Diceros bicornis minor: one gene and its partner. The protein of the gene in region 2 binds, or shares a complex with, the protein of the main gene of each other region. Links are inferred from orthologs where the notes say so. Each region holds a gene or a part of one and is shown on either strand. Other genes may lie near its edges. The genes, in order: PELO and HBS1L.

Region 1 (3,631 bases), on a different chromosome or scaffold from region 2:
TATTCACTGGTCTTTTTAAGAGGTAATTGCCATTTCTCAAACTCCTCCGCCTACCCCCGCCCCTCGCCTTAAATAAAAAATGTTACGTGACTTAAGGATTTTCTTTCAAATCAATTCTGTAGCTATTCAGTCGGGGTCGGTCACAGTAGATCAGGTTTATCCCCACTTCCCATATCCTCAGCTCTCAGTTCAGCTTTAGCAGTGAAGATCCTACCCTAAGCTGTTGCGACCCAACCGCCACCCTAAACATTTCACTGAGCTGCGGAAAGCTGAGACAGCCAATTTTGGATTATGGGATTCCTAGGACATCAGGTCAAGCAACTGAGAGGTCCACCCAGGGTTAAATTCCACAGATGATTTCTTCTCTCTCTGGGATCAGTTCTTTAACATCTGGGTTAATCAGATCGTGCAGACTAAGCGCAGAAAACAGCTGGGCACGTTGCTCAGCGCCCAGAACCACCTGACCAGTCGTTCTTACAAACAACTTCAGGACACAACAGCTCCAAAAGGCGTGGAGCCTCTGCATGCGGATAAGGCAGAAGCAAAGCCAAGCACAGTTTGGACCGTTAAGGCCAAGTCTGCACTTTTGAGAGTTCCTTTGACTTTTAGATAAGTTTTGAAATTGGATTTACTCAGAGGGAGAAGGTGTAGAGTGGCAACTGCGCGCAGCTGAAAAAAATATATTTGCACTCACATATTCCTCAGATTCTTCACAAACAGGGATGGAAGAGAAAAGTTAGGTAGTCAAAGGTCAGCATTAAAATAAAGGACTTGCCACCAAAGAGCCCGTGCATTTTTCTCAGCTGGTTTATACGTCGGGAGCACCTCCCCGCTTAGTGCGCCTGCGCACGCGCAAACTGCGGCCCCGCCTCCCCTTGGGGCGTAAGACATGCGCATGCGCCCTCATTGCATCAGCCACTTGGTCCGTGCTGGCGGCTGGAACCGCGGAGAGTACGGCGTTCGCTGCGGTGGGTCTCGCGCCGGTTTGGCGCGGCGTGCCCGAGACTGAGAGAAGAAAGGCTAAAGTAAGTGCTCCCCGCGGCCGCTTGAGTCGGAGATAGAGTATTTCCTTTCCGCCAGGCAAGTGCTATAGGAACCGGACCCCGCCCCCTTCCCGGCCTAGACTTCCTTTCCCCTCCCTGCCCCTTTCCCGGTGGGGACCCCCTCGGTTCCTCTTGTTCTGGCAGTGAGCCGCTGCCAGGGTCATGAGGCTCGTGAGGAAGGACATCGAGAAAGACAATGCGGGCCAGGTGACCCTGGTCCCCGAGGAGCCCGAGGACATGTGGCACACCTACAATCTAGTGCAGGTGGGCGACAGCTTGCGCGCCTCCACCATCCGCAAGGTACAGACCGAGTCCTCCACGGGCAGCGTGGGAAGCAACCGGGTCCGCACCACCCTCACTCTCTGCGTGGAGGCCATCGACTTCGACTCTCAAGCCTGCCAGCTGCGGGTCAAGGGAACCAACATCCAAGAGAATGAGTATGTCAAGATGGGGGCTTACCACACCATCGAGCTGGAGCCCAACCGCCAGTTCACCCTGGCCAAGAAGCAGTGGGACAGTGTGGTTCTGGAGCGCATCGAGCAGGCCTGTGACCCAGCCTGGAGCGCCGATGTGGCAGCAGTAGTTATGCAGGAAGGCCTCGCCCATATCTGCTTAGTCACTCCCAGCATGACCCTCACTCGGGCCAAGGTGGAGGTGAACATCCCTCGGAAACGGAAAGGCAACTGCTCCCAGCATGACCGAGCCTTGGAGCGGTTCTACGAACAGGTGGTCCAGGCCATCCAGCGCCACATACACTTTGATGTTGTAAAGTGCATCCTGGTGGCCAGCCCCGGATTTGTGAGGGAGCAGTTCTGCGACTACATGTTTCAACAAGCGGTGAAGACTGACAACAAAGTGCTCCTGGAAAACCGGTCCAAATTCCTTCAGGTAAAACAGTCTTACCCAGGGGTGATTAAGAATGGGCAGAGGGATTTGTATCAACTACTGCTAAAGTTTTAGAACTGGGTGAAGTACAAGAGGAGAAAGTCTTTACTTGATTGGGATTGTAAATGAGATAATGAAAAGGGAACTGTTAAATAGCTAGCAAATTTATGTAGTAAACTTTGCTTAAGGCCTTCAACGTATAAAGCTTTCTGAGTGCTTTTGGCTTTAGGTCATCGTGGGCTGATTAATGGGTGCTCTAAGAGATTCTTTTGTCTAACTTTTATAATTGTGTTTCTAGGTACACGCCTCCTCTGGACACAAGTACTCCCTGAAAGAGGCCCTTTGTGACCCTACTGTGGCTAGCCGCCTTTCAGACACTAAAGCTGCTGGGGAAGTAAAAGCCTTGGATGACTTCTATAAGATGTTACAACATGAACCAGACCGAGCTTTTTATGGACTCAGGCAGGTGGAGAAGGCCAATGAGGCTATGGCCATTGACACATTGCTCATCAGCGATGAGCTCTTCAGGCACCAGGATGTAGCCACCCGGAGCCGGTATGTGAGGCTGGTGGACAGGGTGAAAGAGAATGCAGGCACTGTTAGGATATTCTCTAGTCTTCATGTATCTGGGGAGCAGCTCAGCCAGTTGACTGGAGTAGCTGCCATTCTCCGCTTCCCTGTCCCTGAACTCTCTGACCAAGAGGATGATTCCAGTTCTGAAGAAGATTAATGATTGGAACTTATGATTGAGACAACCTTGTGTCTCTTCACTGTTACATTTTCTCAGCATCCTTGTGACAGGGAGCTGTGGCACTTTGTGATTCTTACAAGGATTTCTCATGTGTTTAATCTCACTAGGTATTTTGTGGTTGGCAGGGCATGTATTCAGACCAAACAATAAATTAAAAGGAAATAATCTCCATGTTCGGTATACCATCTTTATTAATTAGGATAGTTTTATATAGGAATTATGACTTCTTTGCAATACTTAAAAACATTTTGTGTATTTAATGAGAATGCCTATATATTCTTTGGGATAGATCATAATACCCCATACTTGATGCTTTGAAATAGTTTTCCTTAGGAAAAGCCTTTTAATATTTCATTATCCTCGGTTTCCGTTATTTTAATTCTGCATAGTGTTTCTTGCACTGTGTTTAATGATCCCCTTTCTTCCCATTTCTCCTACACTCCATTTTTTTAAAATTTTTAAATTTATTTGCTATTTTAAATGATAGCCAAATAATTAGTAGACTTTTTTTGAAGACAAGTCTAAAATGGTATTTTTCTTAAGAGACTTGTTAAACCAATCATGTTAAAAGTAAGCTCTAGGTGTTTTTTCATTAGAATTAATCATATTTGCTTTAGAGCACCACTTAATCAGTTATTTTTAGATCATGGAGTTTTGATCTGCTAGGGATTCTCAAGATAATCTATTTGAGGCATCTTTATTCTTAAAATGAGACTGAGGTGTGTGATTTGCTTGCTGTGTGGCTAATGGCAAAGCTGGAAGTAGTCCCCGTTTCTTTGCGCTGCCACACTATGTATTTATTTTTTGGCTTGTCATAGGTATACTTAATGCTGTCTTATATTTGTATGTGGCATTAGTCTGTGCTTTCACCTTCTTGCTGGACTTTCTCTACACCTTATTTGAGGGGTGAGAAAGCCTGTTCAGAAAGTTTGAGTAAGTCCCATAGTTAGTA
Region 2 (3,918 bases):
TCCAGCTCAAAGGACACCTGTATGCAGAAGTCTTCCCTGACCACCCCTGCCACTTTTACTCTCTAGCACACTCCTCCAACTGACTGTCTTCAAAGCACTGTACCTGCTTCACTCCCTGAGACTCTAAGCTCCTTCAGGGTAAGACACTGTGTAGCCAACTACCTGGCACATAGCTGGCACAAATTAATACATATTTTATTATAAATTAATGAATCAAACAATTTAAAACTAAAAACCCACAAAGAACATAAATATGTTTACATAAATGTATTTATTCATTCAACAAATACTACCATGGACAATTAGAGACATTTAGGGTACAACAGTGAGTGACAGGTACATTCCCAGATCCCTACAAACCTAAAATGTAACCAGGAACACAGAAGAGAAAACGGGCAATTACAAAACCACACGACAAGTGCCTGACATGAGAGATACAGAGCTACTGGGAACACACATATGAACAACAAAAATAGAATGGGGAGTGAGGTGGCTAGGGAAAAACTCCCGGGAATATAATATTTAAAACAATCCCAAAGGATGGCTAGCTAATTTCTGAGGGTATTCATGCAGCAGGAACAGCATATTCAAAGGCGGAGACCAAATGTATACAGCAAAGAAAAATTAGCTAAATACCACTATTGGATAAAAGTGTGTAACATCCAATAAATTATTAGATCACAATCCCAATTTAATAACAATTTATTAGCAAATAAGCCATTCACAAAAAATATTTTTAGATATTAATGACAAAATCTTTTTTACTAGGTCAGTTTTTCAATACTGAAATTGACCCTAAAAGCGCTACACTATAAAAAGATGAAGAGAATTCTTTCCTAGGATTTTTGTAAAGTGGTTCTTTTCCCCGACAAAAATTCTGGAGTATTTACTGCATGTGAAGCATCGGAGTAAATATCAACATAAAGCATAGACCTTGCCTTCCTGGCACTTTTACACCAGTAGCTGAGGTACTCACGTGAAGTACTACCCAAGTTACAGAGAAGGACAGTGCGCGAGTTAAACAGAGGAACCAATCGGTTTTGGAGCACAAACTCTCTCTAATCAGTTATATGACTTTTGAGAATTTTTAAATTATTATTCTCAGAGTACAAGCGCAAGCTTAACTGGGAAGAAAAGAAAGAAACTGGACTCTTAAAGTAAGTATAACTTTTATTCGCAGGAAAAGGGGATGGACCTCTTATGCTACAAGGAACAGCTTGGTTATGATGTCATCAATTGTTCCAAAGACACATGACACCACGACAACCTGACCTGGGGTTGCCAAGAAGAGAAGATATGTAGCACTCACTCCCTCAGGCCAAGCACCTCTTCTCCAGGAAGCTTTCCTTCACATAGAAGGCCTGCTTAAACTCCCCCAACCCACTCTGAATAAGTGGCTCCCATAGCACTGTGTGAGTCCTTTCTGCAGCATCTCATACTCTAATCATCTCCCTCTTAAGATTCCCTCAAACATCTTACCATCGGTCCCCAAGCTTGGAACAGTACTCTAAGCACTCAGTTAATGAAGAATAAGCACTCAATTAATGTTGGTTGAGGAAATGATAAATATTTATTTAAAAAATGAATAAGTAGTAATTAGGCCTATTCACGTTTTTTGTATCATACGTGCAAAAATATGTCGTGGGCTAAAGTCATTTCTCAGGTAATAACCGTCACATGCAATACTTACCTCCACTGCAATACTTAGGGCGGCCTGCATTCTGAAGTGAACACCAGGAACCTAACGTGTGCCAGGATGACTGGGTCCCAGGCTCGAAACGTAGCACAGGGTGTTAGCTACCCTCGAGGGTGAGAGCACACTGATGTTCTAGAATAATCTGCTGGGAGTGTCAATAATAACCACCAACATATTAAGCACACTACATGCTCTGCACTTTACAAAGCAATAGGTCTTCACTCCTCTGCTGCACTCATTCATATACGTTTATAATTTTAGTTTGTATGATGCTTGGTGATGCCTATAATTATCCACTGCATAGAGATGCTATGCTTGTCCTAAACATTCTAACTCCTTGTAAACGCCTAGAGAACATTCATATACATGTTTTTTCCTTTTATTTCATTTTTTAAAATCAGTAAGTCCTTTTCAAAGCCCCCTTCTAGTACCGCTTTTTTTTTCCATTTCAAAATACATTTACTTTGAGAATCATCAACCAAGAACTGAGTATACCCCTCAGATCATCTGATCGACTTATTCCTTGGGCCTTTTTAATATCTATCTTTTCTACCGTCTCCTAAGTTTCCAATTTAACTTGAAATTCACAGAACGTAAGTTAATCAGTTAGATGAAGCCAGGTTCTGCACTAAACGTGTGAACAAACACAAAAGACTGACACGTAGCTCTAACAGGCACAGCAGAACAGATGAATGCAACCTTTAAGACACCCCGTGTTTTACAAACAAGGAACATATGGCACTTCTGAAATGGGGGTCGGGGAGGAGGAGCTCGACGCAGGCGGCGCGCCCCGACCCGGGAGGGCAGGGGAGGCAGGAGGTGACGACGCTTACGTGCAGGAGTCCCCGGGGCCGACCTCCCACACGTCGTCCCGCACGCCGCCGGGCAGCGCGGCCCCCGCCCCAAACAGGACCGATCCCCGAGGGCAGAATCACCGCCCAAACAATGCCACCGCCGGCATCGGGGTCCCGCCGTTTCCTCCAGCCGAGCCTCCTCTGACTCCTGGCCCCTCCGACGGGACGCTCCCAGAGCCCAGGGGATGCCAACGGGCAGGGAGCCCGGCCGGGACGGCGACAGTGACCTCCCCGCATGACCCTGCCACCTACCTTCGTCGTAGTTATAGCCTCGGACATTCCGATGCCGGGCCATGGCGGCGGAGAGGGCGTTCGCCACAGCCCCTGACGAAACACCCGCTCAGACACGGACAAGGCGCCAACTGCGGCCTGGAGAACACCGATACGCCATCTTGGCTTCCGGCAGGCCTCTGCGCCGAGCGCCTGCGCACGCGCGACGTCTTACCTGCGCACGCGCGACGGCAACCTCTAGGGGTCACCCGCCTCCCCCGGGACGCATGCGCACTCACGCGCACGGAGATTGCGTTTCGGCGTGGCCCCGCCCACAGACTGCGTGACTGACAGGAGTTTCAAAGGGGCGGAATTGCACCGCCCACAATTTGTTGTTTTGGAGCAAATTTACGAGCCGGATCCTTTGATCTATGCCCGTGTTCCAGATTATTTTCCGAGTTTAGTTTCTGATAATGTAGTGAAAAAGCTGACTGTGTGCTGAATAAGAGCAGGGACCTTGTCTCATCCAACTTACTTTCGTCTTTGAGGTCTGCTTAGGGACGTAAGCATTAACTAACTTGTGTACATTTGTTTTAAGAATCAGTCCAAGCGTTAGAGAGGAAGAAAGGACCCTTTTTAAGTGGGTATATATGGTTAAATTGAGAATCTGGCTGCAGTAGGTCACCGTGCTTTCGTGTGATTCTTAGTTGCACGTATGTGCTCCTCTTGCACTAATGCCTCCAGTAAACGACCATCTGCCCTTGGCCGTGTAAACGGTTAGCAGCAGCAGCATGAAGAAGGATTCATTGAGCCTTCTGAACACACGATCATGTGTAACATAATAAGAGTATTAAATATAGCTTTTTGGACACAGTACTGGCCTTGGATGGTAGTGATGAACGTTGATGAATAAATCTATAACCGACTATTAAATGTCCTCACTTCTTAGAACACAAAGTGAATGATGCCATGTAAAAAACCAACCTCATTATCATACTAAACAAAGTATATTTCAGTTTTAGGTTGTGTTTTTGAAATGGTGATAACTTTACATCAAAGGCAAATCTCAAATTCTAGAAATGAATTAAAAGCTTAATCAGCTTTCTATTATCCATAATAGAAAGAAATGAGAATAATACACATTCAATTCATATCTTT

The links.
Region 1: HBS1L (region 2) and PELO share a complex: the UniProt entries of both Homo sapiens proteins name them as parts of the pelota-HBS1L complex. The link is inferred for Diceros bicornis minor from reciprocal best matches to the Homo sapiens genes HBS1L and PELO.

Annotation. Positions count from the first base shown.
Region 1 is NC_080759.1:22,672,866-22,676,496, reverse strand, and holds PELO (protein pelota homolog), read left to right. Parts: upstream 1-1,200; 5' UTR 1,201-1,205; coding exon 1,206-1,931; intron 1,932-2,226; coding exon 2,227-2,658; 3' UTR 2,659-2,850; downstream 2,851-3,631. UniProt on the Homo sapiens protein: Component of the Pelota-HBS1L complex, a complex that recognizes stalled ribosomes and triggers the No-Go Decay (NGD) pathway.
Region 2 is NC_080762.1:3,276,621-3,280,538, reverse strand, and holds the start of HBS1L (HBS1-like protein), read right to left. Parts: upstream 2,962-3,918; 5' UTR 2,846-2,961; coding exon 2,803-2,845; intron 1-2,802. UniProt on the Homo sapiens protein: GTPase component of the Pelota-HBS1L complex, a complex that recognizes stalled ribosomes and triggers the No-Go Decay (NGD) pathway.